2 linked regions of the Alligator mississippiensis genome follow. The protein of the gene in region 1 purifies or fractionates together with the protein of each later gene. This does not show direct contact. Links are inferred from orthologs where the notes say so. Each region holds a gene or a part of one and is shown on either strand. Other genes may lie near its edges.

Region 1 (7,637 bases):
GTTTTTCTCCAATGTTTGTGCTCTTAAATTACTCTGCAGGCTTTTAACCGTCATACATTTAAGTCATTCTTTCTCCCAGAATAATCCAAAGGAGTGTTTAATTAGTTTCATACTATTAAAAAAAAAAAAAAGATAGATCATGAAAGAGGACAGGCAGGAATTAAGACTCAGAATAATGGTTCTAATTTGCTTTCAGTTTAACACCAAAATGTTAAGAGTAAAGGTGTTACGCAGTTAGTATCTGTTTGTTACTACAAGCTAGAATACCAGCCAAATGAAGATTTATCTATGCTTTAAAAACTGCAAACACTTCTTATCATCATAAATATAATAAGCCACCTAGAGCAGGGGCGGGCAATTATTTTGGTCAGAGGGCCACTTACTAACTTTCGGCAAGCCATTGAAGGCCACATGACAGGCAGCCTACAGCAGATTAATATTAATTTTTTAAATTTTTCAGGGGCCCTGCAGGCCAGATAGAATGGCCTGGTGGGCTGCATCCAGCCCTCAGGTTGCATTTTGCCCACCCCTGACCTAGAGTCTCAAGTTTCTTTGCCCTCTGTTTTGGTCCCTGAACCGTCACAGGTTCTGCATCATACAAATATCTCTTTCAGATTAATAAAGCTGCATCACTGCCACTCACAAGCTGTTGCTATACAGAATAACTGTGTCCCTTTCATGATGCACTGAGCATGTTGTCCCTATTCTGATTTCCAGAAAAGGAAAATACTGCCATGTTCTTCCCAAGGAGCTCTAATGAAAGAAACTACAGTATTACAAAGCAGACGCTCAAAGTCATGCTGATGTTTCCACAGAATTTTAAAGCCTAGCACAAAGCCATGTCTCAGAGGACCCCCCCACCTTTTGAACACAACTAGGGCTGTCCTGCTACATGTAGACTGCTGGGCTGAGTCTAATACATTGGGAACAGCTTCTGAAACCTTGTGTGGAATTCAAAACAACAAGTGGAATAAAAGAAGGCTGAAGAAAATTCTTTGCTGTCCCTCACCCCAACATTTCACTGACCACTGACCAAACTTTCCTCTTTTAAATAAGCGGAGTGTGCCCCTGCATCAGTTTCAAAGGAAAACAGCAGCATGACAACAATTTCCTGTTTGATTAGTTTCATACAATGAAAAAAATAAATGATACAATAGGAAAGAGGGCAGACTAGAACAGGAATGAAGACTTGCAATAGCAGTTCTAATTTGCTTCCAGTTTAACACCAAAACATTAAAAATGCAGGTGTTACATAAGACCATTAACAGTAGCTACATATACAAAATGAAACCATTCCTTCTTCTAGGAAAAATGTTGCTCCCACACTGTACAGGCCAGCTGTCAACGCAAACTCTTCAACATTCACATTACTCATATAGTTCCTGCCCCTCTAGCTAGGGAGGAGTGCGTTTAACCTGAGAGCGCCCACACTTGGAGGAGCTGCCAGTTAAAAGCTGGAGATGTGCTATTAAAAACTCCAGCGCTTGTGACAAAATGAGAGCAAATTAAAAGGAGAGTCAGAATAAATTTTATATAAAGATATAAATGGTAAATATAAACACAACCTAATATAATGTATAAATGCTAAATATAAATAAACACAAACACATTAGAATACAGTATCTAAACATAAACACGTAACATATATAAATAGGTATAAATATAAACAAATATGCAAGTACAGACACAAGCACGTGTCTAAATAAGTATAAATATAAAATAATATAATACTATATTACTAATATAAAATAATATAATACAATGCAAGTATCAACATAAACACATTATGTATTTGTTTATACTTAGTATTTACATATTAAACAAATATGCAAGTATAAAGACAAGCACATAATATAATGTCTAAATAAGTATAAATATGAAATAATATAGTACTATATCGCTAATATAAAATAATATAGTGCTTTATCACTAACATAGTACTATAATACTAGTTATTAATATAAAATAATATACTACAATATAATAAGTATCAACATAAATGCATTATGTATGTGTTTATTTATACTTGGTGTTTATCTTATATACATTTATACTTATTGTTTACATATTGAGCAAATATGCAAGTATAAACACAAGCACATAATATAATGTCAAAACACGTATCAATATAAAATAATATAATATAGTACTATATTACTAATATAGTACTATATAATAAAGTATCAATGTAAACACATTGTGTACTTGTTTATTTATACTTGGTGTTTATATTATATGTAAATAATAAGTATAAATATAAACAAATATATAATAAAATACACAAGTATAAATACACACAAACACATAATATGTATAAGAATAGATATAAACAAATATATAGCAAATTGATATTTAAGCATGAATAAATATAAAGCCATCATATATATATATATATATATATATATATATATATATATCAATAATAAGTATAAACAAATAAATAATAGCTAAATATAAAGCCATCATAATATAGAAAGATAAGCCAGTATAAACTAATTAGATAATAAATCTATGTAAACTGAAACGAGCAGGGGAAGGGAGGGAGGAGCCCGCGGGGCTGGAAGCGGCGGCCCGGACCCGTGTCCCCAGGAGCCGAGCCGAGCCGAGCCCCGCCACAGCCACCCTCCCCGCCCCGGCGCTCACCGCGCTCCTCCTCGTCGATGCGCAGCGCGGCGGAGATGCAGTCGAAGGCGCGCTTGTGGCAGGCGCGCACGGTGTCGGGCGCCCCGCCGGGCTCGCTGGCCGGGGCGCCGCGGGCGGCCATGAGCGCGATGCGGCGGCAGAGCCAGGCGCACAGCAGCCCCAGGCGGCAGGCGGCGAAGCGCAGCAGCGCGAAGGCGGCGACGAGCGGGTAGGAGAAGTAGTACACGTTCCGCTTGTGCGGCGACGGCGGCGGCGCCCCCGCCCCCGCGCCCGCCCCCGCCCCCGCGCTGGACCCGGCGCAGGCCGCCGGCGGGAGGGGGGCTGCCGGCCCGGGCGCGACTGGGGGCGAGGCCGCGGCGGCGCGGGGCGGGGAGCTGGAACCGCCCGAGCCCTTCTTCCTGCCTCTGCCGCCCGGAGAATTCATTCACCGCCGTCGCCGCCACCCGCCGCCAGCCCCGGCCATGGCGGCGGCCCGGCGCCAAGTGCGCAGCGCCCGTTCCTGAACAGCGCTGCGCGCCGCGGCGCCGGCTGTCGCCGCCACGCTCAGCCGTGCGGCCACAATGCCGGGTGTGGCGGGCGCCGCAGGTGGGCGCCCGACTACAGCTCCCGGCAGGCACCGCGCGAGCCGCGGCGCGGAGCAGGGAGGGACCGGCCGGCCGCGGGGCACGCCGGGGGGTGTAGTCCGTCAGAGGGGCGGCAGTCGCTCAGGGAAGCGGTGCATCCTGGGAAAGGGAAGCGTCCTACATGCAGGCGGGGGACGCTGCATGCTGGGAAATGTAGTCACTGCGCTCCTCCCCCGCCATGGGCAGAACCCAGGACAGCCCCGCCCCCGCCCTGCACGGGACTGCGCCGGCACAATACAGCAACTCCCCCGCCCCGGTGCGCTCGGGGGTCAGGCCGCGCCCCAAGCCCGCAGGGGGCGGGGCCAGGCTGATCCCTGCGCGCAGAGCCTGTCCTGGCCCGAGGGGCGTTCTTAGCCCGGGTCTCGTGGCGGGCGGATGGCTAGAGCAGCCTCGAAAGCGCTTAGTGCTGAGAACAGCAGGCTGAGCCTGAGGGGGGAGATACAGTCAAGCTCAGGGATCTCGGTTTTCTGTGATAAAAAAAATAAAATCCCCAATTTTCAGATTAAAAAAAACCCAAATCCACATTTTTCTGTGATTAAAATGAAACACCACTAATCTAGAAATGGATATATAGTGCTGCTTCATTTTAATCATGGAAAAATGTGGATTTTAGGGGGATGTTTTAAATCTAACAATTGGGGAATTGTTTTTTAGCAGAGAAAACTAGGATTCCTGGCATTACCCACTTTCCTGGTAGACCCACATCCCAACCACCCCTGCCTGTTTCTGGGCCCAATGCATTCCAGTTTCCTTATAGACCTCATATAGAGAATTCACAATGGCTTTAAGAGGGTCACCTTTTAGTTTTCTCCTCTCAAGCTGCCAAAAGTGTGTCTGAAAACTGTTCACAGTGGGAGTCATACTTAACCCTCATTTTACTGTTGGATTCCAACATTGCCCCTTTTTTCTTTCATTCCCATGAACAAAGGGATGTCTTCTCCACTGGTCCTTGTCATAAACCAAGTGTGTGCACCTATTTAAAGTGCTGCTTTGCCCAGTTCAGATAGGAATGCTTCTTATTAACTGGTTACCCATGCCTCAGGGGTGGTGTTCTGCTTTTCTTCATTTCACTTTGGAATATCTCTGCTGACCTGGGGAGCAGAATAGTGTTGACATTTATTTCTGTCTAAGACATAGTTAGCTGGACAATGCTATCTCCTCATACGCTAAACACCTGAATTCTAGGTCATCTACTGTTATGCCCTTCAGCTCATCTAACATTATCAATGTTTGGTTTACAAGAATGAAATAAAGCACTGCTTATTTTATGCCCCCTTTCTTAGAGCAAATTTTGACTTTGAAACTGTTGCTTTATTTTCCAGAAGTTTTGATGACACTGTAGGGGGATTAGTACTTTGATGTTATAATTTTGAAATTTGCTGACCTGAAATACTATGAGATGTTGCTGCTCTCCATCATGCTTTTCTCCAAAGCTTTGATCAAGCTAATAAAAACAGATATCTGTAATCTCCATTCTCAATTCCTCTTCCATCTGAGTGTGACATGCAGCCTTGATTGGGTCTGGAGTTGCACTGTTCTTCATCCACTTAATCTCTAACACAAACTATGATCTGTAGACAAATTCCTTCATCATGACTTTTGCCAATATAGATGGTAGGTTTATAGTCCTATAAATTATCTGATCAAACCTGCTTTCTTAATGATTGCTAAAACTACTTCCCTTAGCCAGTTATCTGGTACCTACTCTAGTTCACACACCTTTCTGAATATTTTTGTAAAGCTTTGTTGGCACCGGCGTCTCCAGGTTTCCTATTTCTCCACTATTCTGTCTCTGCTTTTTATGGTAGTTCAGAGTTGATAACGATTCTACTTTTCCAGTTGTGTTCATCTAACATGTCTAGAATGCTTTCATCTGGGTGAACTGCAAGGCTTAATGATTTGTTACATGCTCATTCCTTACTTTTTATGCTTCTTTAGCATTTGTTGTCAAGTCACCGTAGACGTTTCCTTTTTTTTTTACCACTTATATCATTTGCCAATGGTGCTTCCATGCAGATTCACCTTTTTGTATTTTTTCTTTGGTAGTTTTCTTGATGCCTCCTGTAGTTGTTGAGCCTCCTGTTCCCAAAATGTTTGCTTGTCCAAGTTCTGTGGTTTCTTCCCTGATTTACATAAGGATTTCTCTTCTGCTTTCTCAGTAGTCTTAGCTCAGTTACCCCTTTCCTGTATTTTTTGTTTCATTGCTTGTACAGGCCTTCCCTGATTACGTGAAGGCTGTCCAACTGGTGGCCTGTGAGGGGCTTAGAGTGTGGCCCCCACCTCCTGCCCAGCCGTCTTTCTCCACATCACACTAGCTGCAACAGGATACTTGCCAGTGGTAGTGCCATACAAACTTGAATGATTGAGTTCTGCTCAGTCAATAGAATTCAGAACTGATTTGGCTAATTTGGCCTGAAACATGAAATTAAAAAAAAAAAATGTGTGTCATATAGTCCAGGAGGCCTGTGGCTTTCTCTGGTGCAGCCTGCAGACATGCAGTCTCTGCTGATGCAACCTCCAAACCATGGAGCCCCTGGTCGCTTAGAGCAGGGGCACTCACAACCTTTGTGCCCCATGGGCCAGATGGGCATTAGAGATATTTCAACATCCCGTATTAATGGCCTGAAACATCCTCAAAACATCACCCTGTGTGCCTCTTTCAATCATCTGTCCGTTCGCTTCCCCTCAAATACCTCCCAGTTTTCCTCCAAGCTTTCCCAAATGCATGACAGAAACTTATCAAGATTCAGATTAACCACCCAATCCTCTTTCAAATCCCTCCTCAAAACCTACCTGTGCCAAAATAGATACCAGTTCTTCTTGGCTGTTAAAATCCTTTCATTTCTTACCTCATCCTTCCAACCGCCCCCAATTCATATGTCTGCATTGCATCCTGTTTGAAATGCAGATTAACAGTTCTCTGAAAACAAGATTTTTTATTTGGATTTCTGGTGATGCATAGGGGATTCAATCCTTAATTGTGATCTCTAGTTGATTCTGTAATATAATCAGCAAAGAAATCTTGCATCAAAACTTTTAACAGATATTAAGATTGCCAAGGGATGCATGTTAGAAAATTGAGGAAGCAACTTCTTGTGCAATCCTGCTGCAGTCCCCTTCATGCATGTGCTGTGTATTTAAGTTCTGAACCATGCACTTCTTTATCCATAAGATCCTTACCCTATCCAGTGCACAAAACAGAGCTTACTGAATAACCAGCTTTTCAATATTTTGTTTCATCATTTTTAAATCTGATATTTTTTAAACCCATGCTTTATTTGCACCATTCAAACCTGTTCTGAGCAGAGAATTATTAATTTCCTCAGGGGATTTTCTGTGGTGCCCTCACCATAGGATCTGAGTACTACAAACATTAATTAGTGTCCCCTTGGAAATGATGGGGTATTATTATCCCATTTACAGATGTGGAATGGAGGCACATGAAGATTCAAACCAAAAATGTCTCCTAATTTTGAAATGCCTAAGCCCTGACTCTTTCAAGAGAGTTTATAATTTTAAAGCAGTGTTTGTTCAAATCATCGTTCTGGTTTCATTCATAACTGAATATTCATCACTTCCTCCATAGAGATCCCAAGGTTTCACATCAGGATCCCAGAAAATGACTGTAAAACGAGGAAGAGTATTAAATTAAATTAAGTGACAATGTTTGTAGCTGAAGTGCAGTTCCACCCTGAGTGCTGCCTTGGTTGGGTACAATGCAGAGCATTGCTGGCTTCTGGATGTGCTGCATTACATAGATTTCCATGTTAGTTTTGCTCCACATTCAAGAAAATAATACATTTTTTCCAACTTGCATGGCCCCAAGAAGTCACTGTGGCCCCTGGCACTTATATGATCTCTTTGCAACATCTGAGGTTACCTATAGAAGCTTATCCCTCTCTGAGCCAGTCAGCATGTAAAGTGCCACCCTGCCCTGCTCCCTGCCTCCCCAGCCCAGGCAGCATCACCAGCAATACTTAAGAACACAAGACATTGGCTCACACCAATAGTCCATCTATCCCAGTACCCTGTCTCCAACAGGGGGAAAAATGGATGCTATAGAGGGAGAGCATTGGACCAGATATGGTGCTCAACCTCTGGTGGGCCAAATGCAGCCTGCAGAGCCATGGCATCCTGCTCATTGGGCTCCTCACAAGTCAAGAAATTTGGCAGCAGGAGAGCTATGGCAATTGATTTGTCCATCATCCTCTGTAGCTACATCCCCAAACCCTGTGTAACAGCTGAGAGCCAGGTCATGGGGGTGAACCCCTCGGATCAAAACCTTCCTGACCTCTAGCATCTCCCCCTCAGCGCGCTGTTCCCCACACGGGAGAGTCCTGCGAGGGCAATGCCAGCCAGGTGAGGCCTTGG
Region 2 (7,552 bases), on another chromosome or scaffold:
GGGAACCACGGCTCATCTGGGGGGCGCATACCCCCCGGATCCATGTGGGGCGGGCAGGCTGCAGCTGCCAGCTGGAGCCAAGGCTGCGACAGGCTCCTCTCAGCAGGGGCTGGGCTCAGGACAGGCAGCCACAGTGCTGAGAGGGGCCTATGGGGGGCAGAAGCCACCCCAAATTTCACCACAACTCCCTCAACCACCCCTCCGAGTGCTGCCACCACCCACCCAGTGTAGCCCCGGCTCAACCCCCTCCACCCACATGCTGGAAAGAGCTGGGGCTGCAACAGGTAGGCAGCAGCGGCACTGACAGGGAGGGCTATGACAAAATTGGGGGGGGGGGGGGGGGGGAGGGGGGTGTTGCTGTAGCCCCTCCCGTAGCCTCCTCCCAGCACAGGCCAGAACAACCTGCACGGGGGAGAGGTAGCTGAACCTGTGCCACTGCCATTTCTCCCAGTCTCCCGCTGCTCTGTTGTGGCACAGGTGCAGCTTCCAGCTGGTGGGGAGCAGCCACCAGTTCTCCCCACCTGCCGTCACCTCCCAGATGCAGTGCAGCTAAACCACTTACATATTAATCAAAACCACAAACATATAGATCCAGAGGTAGTGCTGTAAAATTAACTATATATATTCACTCCTAGGTGCAGTCATGTACTGTGATCTGTGTAACCAAAAACAAGCACTATATAATTGCATTATCACCTTCCCTGCACTTGTCTATCTCTGAAGCCATCTTAAGACTCCCTGCAAAAAGTGGAAGCCCCACTTATTTGGCACCAGACAACACTAACCTGATAGCAGTTGGCATCCAGCCTGTCAGCAAACGCTGCATCACTGAGCTCTGCTTCAGCTCCACAACAGAAACCATTCCTAGAAAAACAGAAGTGTTAAGCTCTGCGTATAGGGGATGTGTGCTGTTGATGCAATAGTTCACTGTCACTAATACAAGATGCAACTTGCCTCATTTAGCATTCATTTTTGTTACAGTTACTAAAAAGAGAGTCAATGGCAGCTGAAATCGAAAACCAAAATAGGAAGTGTCATGGAAGATGAAGAGATCAGCCTGGCCCTTTTCAGAGGGGAAGGGGAAAAGCTCAGGCTGGCCCTTTTCAGAGAAAAAGGGGAAAAGATCTTCCTCAGGACTCTCTGCTATCAGGCCTAGACTGCTATCTGCTCCCAAGGTGAGAAGGGGCATCCAAATGTCCTACTTGGAACTATTTACAAGTATTATTTACATTAAAGCCTGCCCACACTGAGCCCCCTCAAAGTGCTCCCCCATTGGAACTGCAGGCTAGAACTTAGCCACCTTGCTTCTTATATCATAGACAGGCACTGTCATGACTGGGATATGCTGGCTACATTGTGTTATAAAGAGCAACTGACGATGGCCCTTACATTTGGCTACAGGCTGCTTTCCATGGATTAGAGACTTTTCTTCCATGACACATTCTACACAAATACAAAGTGGCAGGACAGGACATGCTCTGCTCTAAGTTCTTACCATGCACATCATGAGGTGGCAATCTAAGGATAAAAATTCCTCCTGAAGCAGAGGGCAGAGCAAAGAGAGCCTCCCCATCACTGCTAAGCCAAGCAGCTGAGGCTGTGGAATTAGATGCCAGTCCAGGGATGTTGGGGATCATGTGGTAGCTTGACAGGTCTCTAAAGTTAACCTTCCCAATATCTGTAAATACAGACTGCATCTGGCTCTCTGTGATCAGCTCCTGTTAAATAAAATAAAAACAAAGACTCCAGACTGCAAAAGCACAAAGAGCGGTTAGAAAAATGTAAAACTGGATTTGTCCGTGGAATGACAAATACCTTTAAAAAACTACTAGCTCCTGCTTTGTGAAATTAGTTCTTTCCAATGAAAATCAGCTAAATTCAAACCTGTGTCTCTCTACCTTATTTAACCAGCAAAGCTAGGCTATTTAAGGGTGAGTTTCAAAGGGTAGGTAGAACTGAGAGCTGCCAAAACACAGGAACTTAGATCCTACTCTCTCTCTCCCTCCCTCCCTCCCGTACCTGCTAACATCCCAGTGGCAGTGTCCACACCTGCACCAGTGTTTCGCTCAATACCTGCTTCAAGTCTAAACAGCTCATTCTTAGCAAGTGCCATGAGTTAAATTTCTATGAAACAGCCTGGAGCTAAGGTGGTGGTCTGCTGGCCTGATCCTGCAAATGTAGAGACGGAACAAGTGACCCAAAGGGAGTGGAGATCGCAACACCTCAGGAAGGATACTGAGAAAAAACATTAACCTAATGACTTTTCCCACAGGAAATTTGCACCAAGCCACACCTTCCTGCCCATGCAAACAAGAGCGCTTCCTACTTTGTAAGCCAAGCGATACATCTAGCTGTGACCACCCCACAGGAGACAGTTTCCTGTCATGCCTGTCTAGGTCCCTTGCCCCTACTCTGGGCAGCTGAACTTGGGCAGCCCAATTCTCATCACCGGGGCTGGTGAAGGAAAAAGCTGAGAGGCAACTTACACTCCTGTACATGCGGGCAGGGTGGGGCAACACCAGCCTGTGCACGGTCTGGTTGGTGACGATCAGGAGGACGAGGTGGTTCTGCACCTCGCAGAGGTGGACCCCTCCAGGCAGCAGGAGGCAGTTCTGGATCCGGAGCCGCACGGCATTGTTCAGCAGGTTCACATCCAGGGACTCCTCCACCAGCTCCACCGTGTCCCCAGCCGTGCTCCTGCAGGGGCAGCGCAGCCTGTTCACACCCGGCGACCAGGTCCCCCCAGCCCCCGCGCGGCCTCTGCCCAGGGCAGCGGACCCCCGCCCCGCCCCGCCCTCACCAGTGGATGAAGCGGTTCCTGGTGGCCGAAACCAGCTGCGCGCTCTCCCGGTAGCAGAAGCCGCCGGCGCTGTCCCCGAGCCGCGCCGCGCCCGGGCTGGTGCTGGCACCTGTGGGGAGCCGGAGGGGGCCGGGATTAGCGGGGAGCCGGAGCGGGGCCGGGCGCGGGGGCGCGGGGCCCGCGGGCGGTACCTGGCGGGCTGAACACGACCTCCCGCGCCCGGCGCTGCGGGCCCCGCGCGGCAGCGCTCAGCTCCATGAAGCTCCGCTCCGGCAGCGCCGCCATCTTCCCTTCGCGCGCTTCGCCGCCGCGCGGCACCACGGGTCCGGCCCGGCCGCGGGGGCTCACGGGACGGGGGCGGATCCCGCTGCCGCGTCATCAGCGGGAGGCCCCGCCGCGCCCGGGCAGTATGGCGTCCTAGGGGCAGGACGAGGCGAGTTCCTCGTTTCCCGTCTCCGCTGGTTGTGGCGCGGGGCCAGGACGGGTGTCTGCTCCACCCCCGCCGACTTGTCTGAAGGTTTTAAGGGGGGGTTTGCGCTCTTCTCAGAGGCCCCGGGGGCATGTTGACTGAGGTGGGCCCTGCTACGGGGTCTTGTTCGTCTGTTCCTGGTCCGATTGGTGTGGCCTGGGCGGGGGTTGCTTTCCTCTAGTTGTTTTTAAATTATTATTAATGTATTTATTTTTATTAGATTTGCATCCGAGGCCAAATTAGCCCAAACCAATTCCAAATCGAGGAGTCCAGCACCTTAAGTGGCCCTGCTACCGGCAGGGGTGTAGGTTGTAGCCATGTTGGTGTAAGGACGCGGGCAGACAAGGTTCTTGGGGTGAATCTGTCTTTTATTAGACCAACTTAAATAGTTGGGAGTTTTATTTTAGCAAGCTTTTGGGTTTAAAAACCCTTTGTCAGGCTGAGGAAGTTTCAGCAGTGGGCATGTGCTCTTCCTGCCTGGAATGAACAGTAAAGAAGCCAGGCTGGGCTGGTCTTCGTGCAAGACAGGCAGTCAGTGAATACATCTACTGGCAAACATCCTCCACCCCATCTGCCTGGGCTTCACATGTTTCCAAAACCTTTGGCGGGCATCCTACTTGCAGGCTTGGGGTTTGGATGCCCCTGAGTTTTGCTCGCCCTCAGCCATAAAGCCCTCAGAGCAAGCTTCCTCTGTTGTGAAACTCTTAAGCAAATATTAACAACCTTTTGCAAGAGCAGGATGTTGACTGCTGTGCCCCCGCCCCTCCCCCCAGCATTACCTGTGCAGGTTAGGGTGTTCAATCCGCTCTGTGTCACTGTTGACCGAGTGGTTTTACTAAGAGGTTACGTTATGGATTTGTACAGGATGGTTTAGATAGGAATGATCCTGCCTGAGGCAAGGGGTTGGGCTACATCAGCGTTTCTCAACCTGTGGGTGTGTCATCATGACCCAGAAGTGGGTCACAAGAATATATGAAACAGTCATGAGCAAACTTTAAAAATGGATTCTCCATTTTCCTGTGGGCGACCATGGCTTTTCCCATGCAGGCTGGCACAGTTCCAGCCTTTGAGGGCCTGCTTGCGGCCCCTTTCGCGGTAGTCAGGCCCGGGGGGCTGTCAGTCAACACCAGGCCGCTTAGAAATCAAGCTTTGGGTCAGGTAGGGCCCTGCACAGCCTTCTTCTGGAGAGTACCCTAATGGTGGAGTTGTGTTTTTTGGAGTGACCCAAGATGGATTTTACCCTGTAATGCCAAACAAACTTGGCCCCTTATTCAGCACAATGTTCTTGATATGTGATATTATATTACAGTCCTTTAGCCAATATACATAGTTAATGAAATACAGAGCTCTGCCATGATTTTTTTATTGCTAACAAATTTATAATCACGGGAAGAGAAACTCTGACATTGGAATGGGGAATGACAAACTGGAAACTAGAAATAATGTACCAACTTCACCCTCATAAAAGCCCTTGGGCAGGTTCTTGGCTGCATAAACCAGCATGGCTACAGGGTCTTTGGCTTTGTAGCTGCAGATAGCTAAACATTGTAACTTTTCTTGGATCAAATCTGCAGTATGGGGCCACTGTCAATCATCAAGTTATATTTTTCAACACAGAAGCATTTGAGAAAGATTACAGTCCAGACACCATGCTGTAGCTAAATGGGTACATCATTTCTTTCTTTGCCTGGGGTCGTGAAGCATGCACTTATCATGGAAAGTGCTTCACTACTTGGTGGTGGCAAATAATGGAAAATGCTGAAAGGAAGAGGGGTTTTTTTTCCTTGCTACCTGACAATCAAAATTAAATCCCAGCTTCCACTGCAACAGATCGCATGTCATAGGCCCAGAATACAAATAAAGCAGGGACAAAATGTGCTTCCAACTCTAGCTGCATCAGAAGGATTTTTAATGTTCCTGTTACTATTTAAGGGCAGGGCAGTTGGGGGTTATAGCAGACAAGCATGACATGAATTTTCCAATGAGTTACTGAACTTAGGAAAGTCACAGAGCAGTGACTGAAAGCTGCAGTAGTAGTTTGCTAAGTAAATTCCTCCAGCAACATGACAATGTCCGGAAAAAACCCTACCAGTGCATGATTTTAAAGCAGAGGCATAAGCCATGATTCAAGAAAGCATAAAGCATGTATTTAACTGTAGCCCGGAGTAGAAGCTGCTTTCCTTATAATCTAGTACAGCGGTTCTGAACCGGGGGTATGTGAGATAACATCGCCTAGAATTAAAATGTTGGTTGATAGTAAGCAGCAGCAGCAGGGTTCGCACTAATAAGTTTTGGTATGTTTTGGCATTTGATGCTAAGTGTGTGTGGGGGGGGGGGGTTTGCACCACTTTTTCTGTGCATGGAATAAAGTTTGTTTAAAATGAAAAAGTCGTTGTATGAGGATCTTGCCATTTTTATAATACACGATTACACATAGTTTGACATAAAAATTAATTTCCCATTGAAAGGGGGTATGTGAAGTCTCACTCTGAGACCAAGGGGTACGTTGACTGAAAAAGGTTCAGAACTGCTGATCTAGTATATTAATTCCCCTGGGTAGCCCAAATCCAGCACAGAGCTCTCCCAATGCTCTGATGTGGTGCTAGTGCAGGGGTAGGCAAAATACTGCCTGCAGCCTGCCAACCGATTGGATCCAGCCCACAGGCTGGCACCCGCCAATTGATCATATCTGGCTGGTGGCTGTCCCTGTGGTGCTTTGCCTGGGGCTGAGCCCCCGCTCCTGCCCAAGGCAGCCCTTTCCATGCTCCTGCCCCTGGCAGCGTGCACAGCTTTTCAGCAGGTCTGCAGCTGCCCAGGGATGGCTTGGCTCCTCCTGCCCCTGCCGTACCACAGCAGGCAGTGCACAGCTGGGGCCAGGCAGGGAGAAGCTGCAGCTGGGTGGATCCCGCCTCAGTGAGCAGGCCTCGGGCTTTAGCCCCCAGCTCTGCCTGCGCAGTAAAGTGAACAGCGAGTTACACAGGCCAGGGGTGCCAGAGACACCTTGGCCTGGCCCTGCGCTGCCACCGCCCTGCGCTGCCACCACCCTGCACTCCTGTCCCCGCCTGTCCCACTCCCCAACGCTGCTCCCCACCACCTGCAGCCCCATCCCACTGGCCCAAGCCCATCTCCATGGAGCCCCCAGGATCTTTATTTTTTTAAATATATTTCTAGGGAGAGAGAGAGTTATATATATATATATATATATATACCTCTATCATAAACTTTCCATCACACATCTTAAAACTGCATTAAGAAACCCACAATTTCCATTACAATAAACGTGTCTGTGGACCCACCCTCCACTCTCACCTACCCCAATTGCAGTCCTCTAGGTCGAATGGTCACAAACTACTACAAGACCGTTTCAGGCTGGACATAAGGAAGAATTTCTTTACTGTCTGAGCCCCCAAGGTCTGGAACAGCCTGCCACCGGAGGTGGTTCAAGCGCCCACATTGAACACCTTCAGGAGCAAACTGGATGCTTATCTTGCTAGGATCCTATGACTCCAGCTGACTTCCTGCCCTTTGGGCAGGGGGTTGGACTCGATCTTCTGAGGTCCCTTCCAGCCCTAATGTCTATGAAATCTATGAAAGCCAGAATGTAATTAAACAGAAGGGGAAAAGAGAGAGAGGAGCCAATAGTATGGTGAAGGAAAATGATGCATAGGAGAGAGGAACCCTAAGGCATGGGAAGAATAAGGATTGGGTCCTCAAGTTCAGGTCCCCTCAAGCTGATAGGGCTGGGAGTCAAGGATCAAAAAGTTGAGGCCAACACCTTTTGAGGCTACTTGCCTTATGGTCAACCACTTCCTGTGACCAGTTGGCAATGCTAGATCACAGCCCCATCACATCAGGGCCTCCACACAAACTAAGTACCATGGCTCACCATTGGCACTGATGCTTCTCAGACCAACATACTGGAGTTCATGGGTACCCGATCTCTTCCATGCCCCATCTTGCTGTCTTTCATGATCTCTCTTCACAAGTCCTGTTCCCCGCTGCCCATCCCCTTTGGTTCCCTTTCATTCTGCCCAGGCCCCACACGTGCCCTGCCACCCAACTGTAAGACAGGTGGTCTGGTAAAGCAGGCAGAACCAGCATCCAAGTCAGGAGGTTCCAAAGAATATGTCAGGAATTGAACTAGGGCTCTGAAACTAAGGAAGCCAAGGCAAGAACCAAGATCCAGAAACTGTGGTCAAGGAATCCAGGATACTGGGATCAGCTGTTCAGAAGCAGAAATTAGGCTAGGGCAGGAGCAAAGGAGATTGAGGCAGGATGTGGGA

The links.
Region 2: the proteins of SPAST (region 1) and NUP160 purify together in Homo sapiens (affinity purification with mass spectrometry; 3 studies listed by BioGRID and IntAct, with this or other methods). This does not show direct contact. The link is inferred for Alligator mississippiensis from reciprocal best matches to the Homo sapiens genes SPAST and NUP160.

The regions. Positions count from the first base shown.
Region 1 is NC_081824.1:162,677,809-162,685,445, reverse strand, and holds the start of SPAST (spastin), read right to left. Parts: upstream 3,205-7,637; 5' UTR 3,068-3,204; coding exon 2,644-3,067; intron 1-2,643. UniProt on the Homo sapiens protein: ATP-dependent microtubule severing protein that specifically recognizes and cuts microtubules that are polyglutamylated.
Region 2 is NC_081825.1:171,294,074-171,301,625, forward strand, and holds the start of NUP160 (nuclear pore complex protein Nup160), read right to left. Parts: upstream 3,122-7,552; 5' UTR 3,086-3,121; coding exon 2,992-3,085; intron 2,910-2,991; coding exon 2,801-2,909; intron 2,698-2,800; coding exon 2,487-2,697; intron 1,719-2,486; coding exon 1,496-1,718; intron 865-1,495; coding exon 786-864; intron 1-785. UniProt on the Homo sapiens protein: Functions as a component of the nuclear pore complex (NPC). Involved in poly(A)+ RNA transport.